Arabidopsis thaliana: one gene and its partners. The protein of the gene in region 3 interacts with the protein of the main gene of each other region in a pairwise test. Each region holds a gene or a part of one and is shown on either strand. Other genes may lie near its edges.

Region 1 (4,223 bases), about 16 Mb from region 3:
CATTTGATTTTAATATTTTTTTACTATATATAGTTTAATAACATCTTATTTTATTATATGTTTTGAATGAAGTCGTAAGTGAAGCAAAAGGACCAACAGAGAGCTCAGAGTACGAGCATTCATCAATACCAGCGACAATCAAGAAACTCTTCAATCTCTCTTCCAATTTCTTAACACATAGAGATGCATGGGCTGCTACTTTCGAAGACGTTGTATCTCACTTAACCACTCCTCGAACCGATTGTCCCATGACTCTACCTGAAGTTGCACCTATGAGAGCCACTGAGCCTAAAGAAGACGCTGCTCTTTCTGAGTTTCAAGGTGAAGTGGTTCAGCTTGCAGCGGTTCTCAATGGTGATCACTTCCTCAGTAGCTTCCCGGAAGAAATTGGAAAGAAGATGACTGTGAAACAAGCTCATGAGTATGTCAAAGGAGCTACTTCTCGGTTCATTAGAGCTAGTAAAGAGGCAATGAAGCTTGGTGCCGATAAATCTGCTATTGTCGATATGCGATCTTCGCTCACTACACGGCCACACAACTGATTAAAAATCTTGTTTGCATTCGTCTTCCTATGTTTTGATCTGAAAATGTGTGATTTTATGTATGGAAACTAGAATTGAGGAACAAAGAAATAGACAAAATTCATTGTTAATGTTAGTGATATGTTGAGCAATCGAAAGATCTTCATAAACTCCCAATATAACTGAAGCCCAATTAGGCCCATATATAAATATTCAACAAGGCCCAAAATGAGTTGCATCAATTTCTTTAGTTGGAGACTTTTCTTCAATTGTTTATTGTTAGGGGCAGTGGAGTGAAGGAGAAACAACAATGTCGCCAATTTCTAAGATTCTAGGAGGATGCAGGACACTGATGGCGAAGGCGGTGACTAATGCGACGGCTACCGGCGCCGGCGTTGATAGAAGAGGAGGAATTCATAAGATTTTTCCAGTCTCAGAGTCGCTGGCTAGATTCGTCGGCCAAAGCGAAGTCTCTTTTTCCACCGCCATGGAGAAAGTGGAGCAGTATACCGATGATCACAATCTTTGGGTTAGGGATTTCGAAACTCTTCTCCAGTTTCCTTTCATTCTACTTTTTTTTTTGGTGATTTCTAGGTCTTTTGATCTGATTCTTTCTGTTGGAGCAATGTATCTGATTTATAGGTCTTTGATTTGTAGAATCCGGAGAATATAGAGGAGATACTGTGCGATGATAACTTGAAGACGATTTTCGATGGCCAAGACAAAGTCGTCGGAGTCAGAGAGATGACGGAGCTTTTGTTGCGACATTTTCCTAACGTTAGAACTATGTCGGCGAAGGTGAAGGCTACCGGTGGAGGTACTATAGAAAAATGGGGGTTCAATGATATTGTGAAAGTCTCAGAGCCGCTGGCTAGATTCGTCGGCCAAAGCGAAATCTCTTTTGACGCCGCCTTGAGAAAATTGCTAGATTATGCCTTTGATCACAAGCTCGTAGATGAGGGTGTTACTCTGCTCGAGTTTCCTTGGGTTAGCTTTTTTACTTTCCTTATGATCTCCTCTTTACATGTTTATGCATTTAGGGATTGGAGTCTCTAGAGACTGGAGAATGGTAGTGATTTGATTCTTGTGTTGGTCATTATTGGAGTAATTGACATCTACGCTGAAAATGTTGTTTACTCACTTGAATGTTTTGGTTTTGTTTGTGGAAATGGTCTTTTCTGATTGCATATTTTGAAAACTTAGCTTGTCAATTCATACACTGTCAGATGAAGAATTCACCAGTTACGAATATAGAGTGTCTTTAGGTGGCTTTGGACCTTGTGCTTGCTTCTCTGTTTGGTGGTCATAGATTGCATTTTCATGTTTAGAGATTATGATTTGTTTAGAGCTCACTTGTTTCATTTGTAGATTACGAAGTGTAGTAAATGGCGGATACGATGCGATGATACCTTGAAGACGATACTCGATGGCAAAGACAAAGTCGGAAATAAAGAGCTCTCTTCACTCTTGATGCAACATTTTCCTGACAGCTCTCTTCACTCTTGATGTTTTCTTTTGGTTCATTTCGGATGCATATGAACTTTGGTACGTGTAAAAAAAAAACAAAATTTAACTTGAAATAGAAAATAGAAAAAAATTAATTTAGGAAATAGAAAAAAAAGAGAGAAAATCATCAGCTACATCGCTGTCCACCTTATCCACTTGTACCCCAATCCCTTTGGCAAAAACTTGTCACGACCTTTTTGATCCAAAAATCAAAATCCAAAACCGACCAATGGATACCAACAACCAGCAACCACCTCCCTCCGCCGCCGGAATCCCTCCTCCACCACCTGGAACCACCATCTCCGCCGCAGGAGGAGGAGCTTCTTACCACCACCTTCTCCAACAACAACAACAACAGCTCCAACTATTCTGGACCTACCAACGCCAAGAGATCGAACAAGTTAACGATTTCAAAAACCATCAGCTTCCACTAGCTAGGATAAAAAAGATCATGAAAGCCGATGAAGATGTTCGTATGATCTCCGCAGAAGCACCGATTCTCTTCGCGAAAGCTTGTGAGCTTTTCATTCTCGAGCTCACGATCAGATCTTGGCTTCACGCTGAGGAGAATAAACGTCGTACGCTTCAGAAAAACGATATCGCTGCTGCGATTACTAGGACTGATATCTTCGATTTCCTTGTTGATATTGTTCCTAGAGATGAGATTAAGGACGAAGCCGCAGTCCTCGGTGGTGGAATGGTGGTGGCTCCTACCGCGAGCGGCGTGCCTTACTATTATCCGCCGATGGGACAACCAGCTGGTCCTGGAGGGATGATGATTGGGAGACCAGCTATGGATCCGAATGGTGTTTATGTCCAGCCTCCGTCTCAGGCGTGGCAGAGTGTTTGGCAGACTTCGACGGGGACGGGAGATGATGTCTCTTATGGTAGTGGTGGAAGTTCCGGTCAAGGGAATCTCGACGGCCAAGGGTAAAGTTTCATTTTCTGTGCAATGTGATATACATTGATTGATTACATGATCGTCTAGGGTTTTAGGAGATGGAATGATAAACAATCTCTAAGTCTGGTTTGTTTGGGATATAATCATGTTAGTCCAAGATTTCTCTGTTTATTAAGGTTTTAGGATTTGGAATGATAAACAATCTCTAATCCTGTAATCATCAAGATTTGAAAATTGTTTTCATATCGCAATTTGCAAACATTGCTATATCAAACAACTAGATTCTCTTGCTCTTCTGCTGAATCTGAATGAATCAATGAACTATGGCTCCTTAAACTTACCTTTCAATGTTTTGGTATCATTTTTGCAGTTAAGCTCAGAGTATTCCAGATGATGCTTGACCTGCTTGAAGATAGCAGATATTAGTCGACCTCGCCTTGAATTTTGGATGTGTTTGATAGATTATGCCTAAATTCAATGAAAAGGCTTCGTTAAAGAAGAGTAAAAAAAACTCTTGTTTCTCTCTGTTAACGTATATGTTATTGTAGCAAAACCATCATTGCTGCGACTTAGCCTAACTATATATAATCTAATGTGCAGTTTCTATTGTATGCTTCTTTCCGATTTTTTCTCATATTTGACTTATCTTGATGTCTGAGAAAATGCAGTCTTGTAACCTGTAAGGTTCTTTTCAGAGGTTTCAGTGCTTGTAAACCTCAAGCAAACCCGATCTGAACCAACTTGGTTCTGTGTAAATAGGTATCTGTATATGAACTCGTGACATAGTAATGTATCTAGCATTGATGACAATAATGTTGTTATTTGATAGAAAAGGCTTATCATAAAGCATCTTACAGTAACATAAGTTATTTTTTCAAGATAATTGTTTTGTAGGCTTAACCCTGTGACAGGTATTGATCTTTCTCTAAGTGTAACTTCCACATTCTTGAGGCACCTTTGGATATCGCTGTCTGTCAGAACAATAGTCATAATCCAGGTACGTCTTCCTTGCGTTTAGGTACAGTGTCTTCTCTTTAGAGCTTAGCTGTTTGCGATTCCACCAGAACTTAGGATCAGTGCATTTATCTATTCCCATGAACTCAGTCTTACACCCTTCAATCTTTGATGCCTGGAACTTAGCAATGTAAGGCATCTGCTTCGGGTCAATTATCGATCCGTTTTGCACACTTCCCATTAGGAACATTGTCTGCACCGATGGGTAGTAAACATCTGGATTCTTGCTGTACACCCTGATCGGTGTATCGTCAACATAAAACCTGAAAATGTGGAAATAC
Region 2 (4,626 bases), on a different chromosome or scaffold from region 3:
GTCCCATAATGCGCATTTTCTCCGTTTATACTGCATATTAAGTAAGAACATGCTCAGAAAAAACGTAACAAACCTAGTCATATTTTAGTTCTAGCCTCTGTTATGACATATCCTGTTTCTTAAAACATGAACTCCTAAACCAGAAAAGATGTGAAATTGAACCTGTAAGCCATTTCATCCATAATGGTAATACCCAAAGCTGTGGCACCAGCTTCTAAGAGAGATGAAACTACTGGAGCTGTAGAAGTAGCTGCCGAGTGTGTCCTTAACCAATCCGGGTTACCAAAACCGGTAACGCGTCCTTCCACATCAAAACTGATCAAACCAAGCAATAAGCTCAAAAATTGATTGACAAGAAAGTATAGAAGAAACTCTGTAAGTAGTTGGATATCTTACATGTCTTTAATGGCGAAAGTAAGACCCTGTAGAGAAGGAGGCGACGAGGAAGTAGAAGTTGGAGAGATTGTAACTTTCTCAATGAAAGCTCCAAAATCATTATTGGTCGCCATTGATGCAGCTCCCTTTCTGAGAAGGTAGATGACGACCAAGTAACGCTTCTTGTAGATAAAAGCTATCACATTATTAACGCGGCTACAGTGGCCAAGTCATTTTCTATTTTGTCTTTTCCTTAATATTATTGTCCTTTTGTTTTAAATATCCAATGAGATACATTTTGTGGATAATAACTTAATATGTGTGATAAAGACACAGAAATTAACATTCAAATAAAAAAACTTTTGTCAAAAGCACACTTGTTTCTTACAGTTTATACATTCTTCTTTCTGGTTCATCCCTAAATTTCTCGTTTAGAAAAGGATCGATAGACATAAACACTTTAGATTCTTCTACAACACCCAATTTGACAATTCTGATATGTTCTTTTCATTTTCTTGTCTAAGGTCTCCCTCCTTTCACCTGGACGAGACTAGAACGCTGCAGGGAGAAAAGCGAATACACTATCACATTTTTACTTCAATAAGATAAGAATACCAAAACTGACATAGTACCAAACTGAGACGATACTGAAATAAGTTATACAAAGGTTACCATTATTCGAAAACAGAAACAAAACCCCAAGACTACAAGGTAGGCCTAAAAGAAGCTGGAAGACTCACAGTTTCTTGCTAATTTTCCTGGTCAGGTTGGTCAGGTGCCTGTTGTTGCCACATTGGTTGACCCATATAAGGATTAGGTGGATACGCACCACCGGGATTACCCATAACCATTCCCGGATTTCCTATTGGAGCAGTTCCTGCAGGCAAGTATCCATACGGGTAACCAGCAGCAGCAGCTTCCGGGACAGTGCCCCTCGGAATACTTCCCAAGACTTCATCTCGGAGATCCTCCCGGGGAACAATATCCACAAGGAAATCAAAAATATCGGTTCTAGTCACAGCAGCAGCAATATCGTTCTTCTGCAACGTCCGCCTCTTATTCTCCTCAGTGTGGTTCCACGACCTGAGTGTCAGCTCCAGGATGAACATCTCACAGGCCCTTGCAAACACGACAGGCGCCTCAGCCGAGATCATACGGACATCTTCATCCGCTTTCATGATTTTCTTGATTCTCGCAAGGGGAAGGCTGTGGTTCTTGAAATCGGTAGTCTTCTCAATCTCTTTGAATTGGTTCTCCCAAAATGCTTGAAGCTGCTGTGCCAGCTGTTGCTGCTGCTGCTGCTGATGGATCTGGTGGAACGCCAGCTGGCCTGGTTGTGCCGCACCTCCTGCTACAGTAGCAGCAGTGGTGCTCATCGGGTTGGTTTGGTATGGGTTTGTGCCATAGTTCATAGCTCCAGACTGTCCATGGTCTTGTTGATCCATTCACTACCAGAATAAAAAAACAGAACTTTGGGATTCATTCTAAGCTCTTAAGAAACATCTGACCAGAATTTTAAAGAAATGTGAAGGAGATAAGGTTGCTAACAAACAATTTACATAAATAAGAATCTGCTGAATTTACTTTATATATGGTCTAATCTGTAATTCTAGATTAACCTTGAAGATCTAAACAGCAATAAGTATGAAAATTGAGCTTCGAATTAAAAGACAATACATCAACCTACTTATTCCAACCCATAAATTTGATAAGGAAAACAGGAAAATATCGAAAGGGATTGCCTTTAATTTCCTTCAAAATAGACAGAACAAAGAATCTGCTAACACAGAACAACTAGAATTGTTCCTACAACACCAAGCATATTATTTTATCATGTGAATTCCACAATATATAAGTAAGAACAAGTCAAATTGAAAAAAAGAATCTGCAAACGAGAGTGACCTGTGGAAAGGAGAATCTGAAGGGGAAGAGACTGGTTGATCCTCTTGGTGGGTAGAGAGAGTTTTAAGATCTGGTTTTTTTGTGTTAATTTGTTGTGATTTTATTAGGGTTTTGCTGCTTTACCCTTTTTTCGACTTTAACAATGAGGAGGAATTTAGAAAGACAAGGGGAAGTAAGTGGAAAGAGCTTTAAAAGCTGGGTGTCGTGTCAACCATTGGGCTTATGTCAAGATTCTTCTGCTCTTGTCAGATCATGATTTGTTTTATCTCTTACATTAATTAATTCATTTTTATTATCTTCTTAGGATTTAATTGGCAACCTTTAATTATCTTCTTTGGAGGTTCAAATTTCACAAGTAGTTTTGTTGTATCACAACATATTTGGCATTCACAGAGAATCAAATCACATAAAAAAGAACCAGAATCAACATTTTGTTCTGCTCTAATACACATTCTAGGATCAATGAAGTATTTCTCATTAATATCAAAAGAATACAAATGTGTGGTTTATACATATATAACAGACCCAAAAAAACAAGACCAGTACAATCAATGGAAAAGTAAACCAGATGGGGGAGTCAAAATCTTCTCCCAAAGCACATATATTTTACCATCACCTATCTACCAAACTTTACTAATCTGGCTCGGACGATCACAAGAACTTTTTGTGGGATTCGAAGATTACTGGTCTGGCGGTGGCCATCAGCTGAGCTCAAAATTTTGGCAATTCCCTTCTAGACAACAAAAATTCCTAAACAATGAACCCTGGTTGACCCTAGATTATTCAATGTGCAGACTTCACGCATATGATCAGGTTGAAACGCTGGCGATGATCAAACTAACAAATGTGAAAGCAACATACAGTCCAACAAGACAGATCCCCCAGAATCTCGGAACTCGGAATCTAGACCAGGTTATTACCAACAGAGATCCCATTAGACTAAGCAACAAGAAGACGAAAGCTATCACAATACCTACATGGAATCCAAGTTTGTAAGCGTCTGGATATACATTAGCTGTTTGCATCACCAAGGCCGATCCAAGTCCAACAAGCATGTTAAACATTGGACCTGCAAAACAACCGGCCATAGCCATTGCTGGTCTACCTGCCTTTGCAACTGCCACGTCAGCAACTAGGTCACCAACCGAGTTTCCCCAAGCAAGAACGGTTAGGCCAAGGAGCGCCGGAGGCAGTTTAAGGAGGGTTCCAAGCGCAGCCAAGCAGTTAAGGAGCTCACCAGCAATTGTTGATATCCAGAAAACACTCATTATGAAAGCTACAACAATGACCGGCAGTTGCTCGGTTTTTGGTGGTTGTTTTTCTACTGTGAAGTGGAGGAACGCTAGGGAAGACGTCATGAAGAGGACAACAAGCCAAAGCGGGAGATGGGTGTTTGGAAAGAGGAATGAAATTGGGTGGTTTAGTTGTACAAAAGAGTTGCAAGTGTATAAAAGGGCAAAAGGGCAGAAAACAATGTTGGCAGAGCGATAAAACCTAGACCATTCCGAAGGAGAAGGTTTTGGGATGGTAAGGTTCAAAAGAACTGATACAGGAGTTTCCCACATCCTCGAGATCTGCAATCACAGCAGCAAAAGCAGAATCAGACAACCTTCACTAAACTTATTTCAAACTTAAATGCAGTCTAACAGAAAAAATATAGTAACCTGGATAAGATCCAAACAGGTAAACTCCTTTAGAGTCGAATTCACCAAAGGAATACATATCATAGAGAGACTTGATTAACGAGTCTTGACCAGTTCCCAATCCTAAACCCTACGAAATTCTCTCAAACTCATTTTGCCCAACTTCTTTCTAACATGTTAGCTCTCTAGCTAACCGATCTAACGATTGCTCCTGAGCTGTCAACACAGCTACAATCCAGTTGAAAACGCCTAAGCAAGTGAAAATGCTCATTCACTAGACTAACACAGAGACTTATCATAACCTTAGAGTACACTAAGAAGAAAACAGGAAGCAAATTAAAACCTTTAAACGCATAATCTAAACTAAACAATATCGGAGTTCACAATTGGTAGCTGAATATGATACTACCATAAAATTCCAGCATTATGATCGATAAACAAAGCTCAAAGATGAGTGAAGAAGAATTTACCGTTCCATAAAGCCGAAAAATTCCTGAAAATTGATGTTCTTTCTCTGCTTTATAACTCCCAAGAGAACCTGCGGCAATCTCACAATCCTGAAGTCTCAACAAATCCTTCTCTTCCTCACTGATACTTTTCCCTTTCTCAACATTGGTACCAAAATCCATCCAGAAGACGAAACCAACGAAGAATATATAAAACCCAACGAACCCTATAGCTTGCCACACAAATATCTCACCACTCA
Region 3 (5,408 bases):
ATATTATATTATTTATCCAAGCTATAAATATCAAAAAAAAATCATGATCATTTTACAGTAAAAACATAGTAATAGAATATGAATATTTTCTTTCATATTTGCTAATATATTATTAATCATATCATGGATATCACATATAGCTATCTAAAACTTAAAGATATTATAGATTTTGGCCACTACAATAGATTATATACCTAATCCAATGTTAAATTTATTTAATATTTATTCTTAAACAAAAGTAAATGCAGTTTCAAGTATAATCTTATTATATTATAGAGTGCTAAATATTTTACGTTTTTATTTTTTTTTACTCTAAATATTTTACGTTTTTTGTAGCCATTTCCGCATTTATTTTTCACTACAGATTTACTTGGGAAAAAACCGCCATCTATTTATAATTTAGACGTTTAATACATGTAACATTAACTGCGGTTAAAAGCTAACCATGGTTGTTTAGGATATATATAATATATCGTTTCACATGTTGACAAATGGAATGTCTTAGTTGAGTGGTTGAACGTTGCTCGATTTTTTTTCGATCTCGGATCGATAGCTAGATTGATCAACCATTAGATTTGGAACAGAATTTTTTTTACTCTGTCTTTGCTGTATAAGTCCTGGATAATAAGCAAATAATAACATAAATTCGACCAAATATACAAAAACACAGGTCTTAAATATGTTACATAAACCACATAACTTAAAAGTTGTTACAGTTGTTTGAGAAACACACAAAGCCAGAGAGAGCTACAAAATCAGATAACAGAGTTTTCTTAAAACACACACTACTAGTTGGAACAAGTGGGTTTAGTGACCAAACACATCATTGTTCTTCACCAGTTTTAACTACTTTTACACTGAAGATAAATATATCAAAGCTTTTTTCACCTCACGGCGAAGTTACCTTAATAGAGAATGAGCCAAAGATGATTTGCCTGTTCACAGCCAAAGCGGATTGGCAAAAAGGAAAATCCTTTATACCAAGGCAAGAGTTCTTTATCTCTCTCCGTTTGACTGTGAAACGGTAAAGGATCAGGTTTTGAAATTGCAGCAGCCATTATCCATTGCTGCTGCTGCTGCTATCCACTTGCTAGGCATTACCATGCCACCAAGAGAATGAACGGGAGAACTTAGGAAGTAGTTCATGCTAGTAACTTCTGATCCCGACACATTTAATCCGTTCGATAAGTTCATGGTCCCGTTTTCCGGATGAACAACTTCAGAATTCTGAGAGTTACTTTGCTGAGGCTTAGGCTGAGACTGAATCTGCATACTTCCATCACCTTTCTTTGCATTGGTTCCGCTATTTTCCAAGTTCTGACTTTTAGTGTTCAAGAATCTCCCACCGGATCCTCTAGGACGCCGCAATGCATGGAGATGGCGCGAATGATGCATATATGGCTGCAACATACATAACAAAAGCAAACACACTAATTCAGTAATAAAATCTCATTTGCACAAAAGTATCAAACTAGTTTCTATATGTTACCTTGCGGCATCTACTACTCAATTTCTTCTGATCAAGAACAGCAGCAGCCTTTGCGCGGGATTGGCGTCTCCTTATGATTCCATGGTATTGCTTTGAGTTCACATAGATGGTACTATCTTCCGTTTCCATGTTTAGAGGAAGCATTACCCTGCTCTGAGATCCATAGGCTGAAACAACTCCATAGTATTGTTGTTCTCCATAGGGATACTTTGTATAGATCTAAATGACCAAAGTAAACAGCCAACAAACACTAAATACTCAGAAACAAATTAAAGGAAACTCATGATAGGCTTATTCATTATATGTTTTTCAATGCGGAAAAGTTTTTACCGGTGGCTGAGAAAATCCAAGTTCCAAGCAAGGTGATTGCATTGAGAAAGTAGCTCCATGAGGCTTTGGCACAAGTCTTGGACTCTTTACATCACCTAATACATACATAGTGAAAATTATTCCAAATCAGATCACAAACGCATTCTTAGATTCACAATTACCTACAGAACAAATAACATTTTTACAATCCAGAATTTGAACCATAAAGATATCTTTTTAAACATCTTTATATCTTGTAGAATCTTAGATTCTCTTTTCGGACAATTTAGCTCAGTTCTGTTCACTCTCAGTCATACCTATAAATAACTAGTAAAACATGTACTAGCACTTTCCAAAAAAAGCCACTTTTGACAAATTCAGAAATTTTCACTAGAACCATCTATTTGAGGGCAAAAGAAGTTAAGAGTTTACCAAGTGAGAAAGCTAAGTGCGTTGCAGAGTTGCTCTGTTTATCCACACGTTGTCCTGTCTCTCCGACAGATCCGACCTTAACTCCGGCGAATGAGTCAGAATCGCCGGCGAGACTCTCCGGAGCCAACGGCTGAGATCCAAAAGCAGTCCACCAAGAAGTCTGTGGAGCAGAGAAGAGACCTTCTCTCACAGTTTGCATAGCCATCTCCAAATTCCAATTACAAAAAGTGAAAAATAGATAGTGCCTAGAAGAATAAGAAAGATATGTTCCTGTGGAAGATAACAAAAAAAAAAAAGTCAACAAAGTAATAATAAGAGTTGGATGTGAAATCTTTGTCAAATTTCAAACCCAATTTAGAAAACTTGTAAGAAAGAAAGGAAAGAACTTTGGGATTGGGTATTACGCAAAACCACACGAATGACAAAACCCATATGTGAATCATCATCAAGAGACAGACTTGTTGTCTAAAGTAAGAAAAAAAGATTGTGTGAAACGAGAAGATAAGACGCAAGAACTGAAATCTTTTTCACAGACTAGAGATCCCCAATAGCAAACAAACTCCAAAAAGAAGTAAAATAAAATCCCAAATGTTGGTCAAAATCAAACACACGAAAACCTATGTGAATCTAAAAGAATAAAGCAAAGAAAAAAAGAGAAAGAGGTTGAGTAAAACTTACACAGATGGAGTGATAGAGTAGAGAGTAGAGAAGAGCTTCAGATTCCTAGGAAGAGGCAGAGAAAAGCCCAATTGTTAGGAAGCCATCTCGGTTCCAAAACAAGAAACAGAGATTCATTCACACACATTAGTATTTAGTAGGGAGAGAGAGAAAGAGAAGAGAGAGACGTACTAATATATGAATTACAAATGTAGATGACAACTATAGCTTTATCAACCAATCACCTTCAACTTTTATGCTGCTCTGTTTTTTTTTTTAATTTTCTACTTTATTTGGAGTTGGAGATATAAATGTAAAACAACTAAAAATAATTGGTCTGGTTTTTAACTATAGCGTTGGCTTGACGTGCTTTGTTTTAAAAAGCTACAATGATCCCACTTAAATCCATTTTTATTTCATTTTTGATTTTTGATATTTTTCCACTAGGTAAGAGTAGTGCTTGGCTTGTCAATTGCATCGTTTATTATTATGATTGTGGTCCTTGTAAGCTTTTAAATTAAAAATGTGCATATACGTCATATGGAAAAAGGATCACCACTCAAAAATAATAAAATAATTAAAACTAAAATAAAGTAACAATCTGACATCTTCAACAATGACATGCCAATATTTGCTATTATAAGCTCGTGACTTATTCCCTACCAAAACATTATATAAAGTCTGCCAGAATCAACCTTTGTATAATTCTGTAAATAGACCAAACATATTTTCGCAATAGCATTTCCACTTGTTGAGGATGTTATTCTTAACTAGGTTTTCAAATGTTTTTCACACATTTGTCCTTTTGTTTCCTCTTTTGTTATGTTTCTTTAAATAGTTCTAGTTATTTTGTGAACCCGACCGTACACGTGTTTATGATTGAAATTAGACAACTAATAGTTAAGCTCTATAGATATCATTCCGGAGACATTATAATACATGTTATATATTTGTAAGAGATTGCTTTTGCTTTTAGTGTTGGACTTGATTATTATGGATTAGCTTCCTTTACCTAATTTAAGAATTTGGTTTATATTAGATGTTGAATTGAACTTAACTGAATTAAATCTAAGAGAAATAAAATAAGGTTAAATTGAAAAATAGAATATTGGTTTACGGGCTTGACAAAGAAAAAAAAAGGGTTTACGTTAGTGCTTGCTTTTGTTTATACGTCGTGCACTGGTGCTTAAGCATATCCCACTAGCAGCTTTTCTTTCATCCGAAACACAATAATTAATTGAATTATGCACTATAGTACAGTAGTACGTACACTATCTTCTAACAAAAATATCTACTTTCACTGACATATAGAAAGCTCAGTTCTAGTCTTAGTTTATTGCTTTATCGTAAATATATATCTAAAGCACAATCTTTTTATGGATTTGTGATCAACGATTTTAATGTAGTTGGCAAAAGAACAACATAATTAAATAGCTTATTTTCAAATAATGTAGGGAATATAGCTAGACTGCAAAATGCGAATCATAAGACTCAAAGCAAAACTAGAAATGTTTTATGGTGAAGATATGAATTTGTAGTCATCGATCGATATAGTACTTTTCATGAATGTACGTTTTGCTAAACACTTTATCAATAAATAAAAAGTATGTTTTGGTCTAAAGCATTAAAGAGATATCAAAGCATGTTATATATCAACATTAAAAGGTCAACCTGCCACCAAAGGTAGATGAGGATGCAAGATGATAGTCAACGTACGATGGGTAGATCTATTGTTTTGTAATTGATTGATGTTGAGCTACATTCCACAATCAAAATATTTCTACAGATGAAGAACTTTCAAAATTGGTTTACTACTGTATATTGGTATATATAATATACATATTCGATCTACTCATTTTTTAGTCTTTTTCAAAGATTTCTACATGTAAAATGGTTTTCATATTAGTTGTAGATTTTAACTACGATGAATAATTATTATTTACTAAGAATAAAAATTGTCAGTCTGATTCGTCTCCTCTAGACACGTATAGATAACAATACTAAAGCTGCTCTGTGGGATGAAATTAGTTTTGACACTAATTAACCATAAACCTAATTACAACCTTATTATATAAAAGAAGATTAACAACACTAAGATATATAAAATAACCCATTAGCTTTCTTAAAGAGATTTTGCTTTTCTTCTGAAAATATATATAAAAAAACAGTCGCTATAGATATTGTTCATCTTATTCTCCTATGCGATTAATATGTAAGTCACTCATTGGCTCCACTTGTTCATAAGCTTCCAAAAAACACGATTACTGACTAATCACCAACTATATTTTTCTATGTTCTTAAGAAAATTGACAACCCAACTTTTGAATATGCACGAAATAACAAAGTATTAAAATGAAGTAGAGCTACATATGCATTCCACTTGAATACATGAACTAAGGACACTCAAGTGGAAGTCGAGTGTGTACGTTTATGGTATTAAAGGAATTAAAGAACCTTTGCTTACGACAGTAAAGGAATTAAAGAACATTTGCTTTTAGCTATGTCACTTCCTTTCCTCAAT

The links. Proteins that work in one complex are often made in the same cells at the same time.
Region 1: the proteins of NF-YA2 (region 3) and NF-YC1 interact in a two-hybrid assay, tested with the Arabidopsis thaliana proteins (2 studies listed by BioGRID).
Region 2: the proteins of NF-YA2 (region 3) and NF-YC9 interact in a two-hybrid assay, tested with the Arabidopsis thaliana proteins (3 studies listed by BioGRID).

Annotation. Positions count from the first base shown.
Region 1 is NC_003074.8:18,007,972-18,012,194, reverse strand, and holds NF-YC1 (nuclear factor Y, subunit C1), read left to right. Parts: upstream 1-2,176; 5' UTR 2,177-2,256; coding exon 2,257-2,957; intron 2,958-3,298; coding exon 3,299-3,302; 3' UTR 3,303-3,602; downstream 3,603-4,223. Other genes in the region: NPC6 (non-specific phospholipase C6), read left to right, coding at 73-542; AT3G48600 (SWIB complex BAF60b domain-containing protein), read left to right, coding at 832-1,050, 1,179-1,508, 1,890-2,027; XTH11 (xyloglucan endotransglucosylase/hydrolase 11), read right to left, coding at 3,854-4,205. UniProt on the Arabidopsis thaliana protein: Stimulates the transcription of various genes by recognizing and binding to a CCAAT motif in promoters.
Region 2 is NC_003070.9:2,880,338-2,884,963, reverse strand, and holds NF-YC9 (nuclear factor Y, subunit C9), read right to left. Parts: upstream 2,474-4,626; 5' UTR 2,278-2,473; exon of another isoform or gene 1,824-2,277; 5' UTR 1,821-1,823; coding exon 1,125-1,820; 3' UTR 1,116-1,124; exon of another isoform or gene 934-1,115; 3' UTR 622-933; downstream 1-621. Other genes in the region: AMI1 (amidase 1), read right to left, coding at 1-30, 163-315, 397-509; CAX11 (cation exchanger 11), read right to left, coding at 3,087-3,851, 4,391-4,626. UniProt on the Arabidopsis thaliana protein: Stimulates the transcription of various genes by recognizing and binding to a CCAAT motif in promoters. Interacts with REF6 to directly regulate SOC1 transcription in response to flowering signals from photoperiod and gibberellic acid pathways.
Region 3 is NC_003074.8:1,675,890-1,681,297, forward strand, and holds NF-YA2 (nuclear factor Y, subunit A2), read right to left. Parts: upstream 3,080-5,408; 5' UTR 2,663-3,079; coding exon 2,617-2,662; intron 2,501-2,616; coding exon 2,231-2,500; intron 1,915-2,230; coding exon 1,820-1,914; intron 1,709-1,819; coding exon 1,490-1,708; intron 1,402-1,489; coding exon 1,033-1,401; 3' UTR 615-1,032; downstream 1-614. UniProt on the Arabidopsis thaliana protein: Stimulates the transcription of various genes by recognizing and binding to a CCAAT motif in promoters.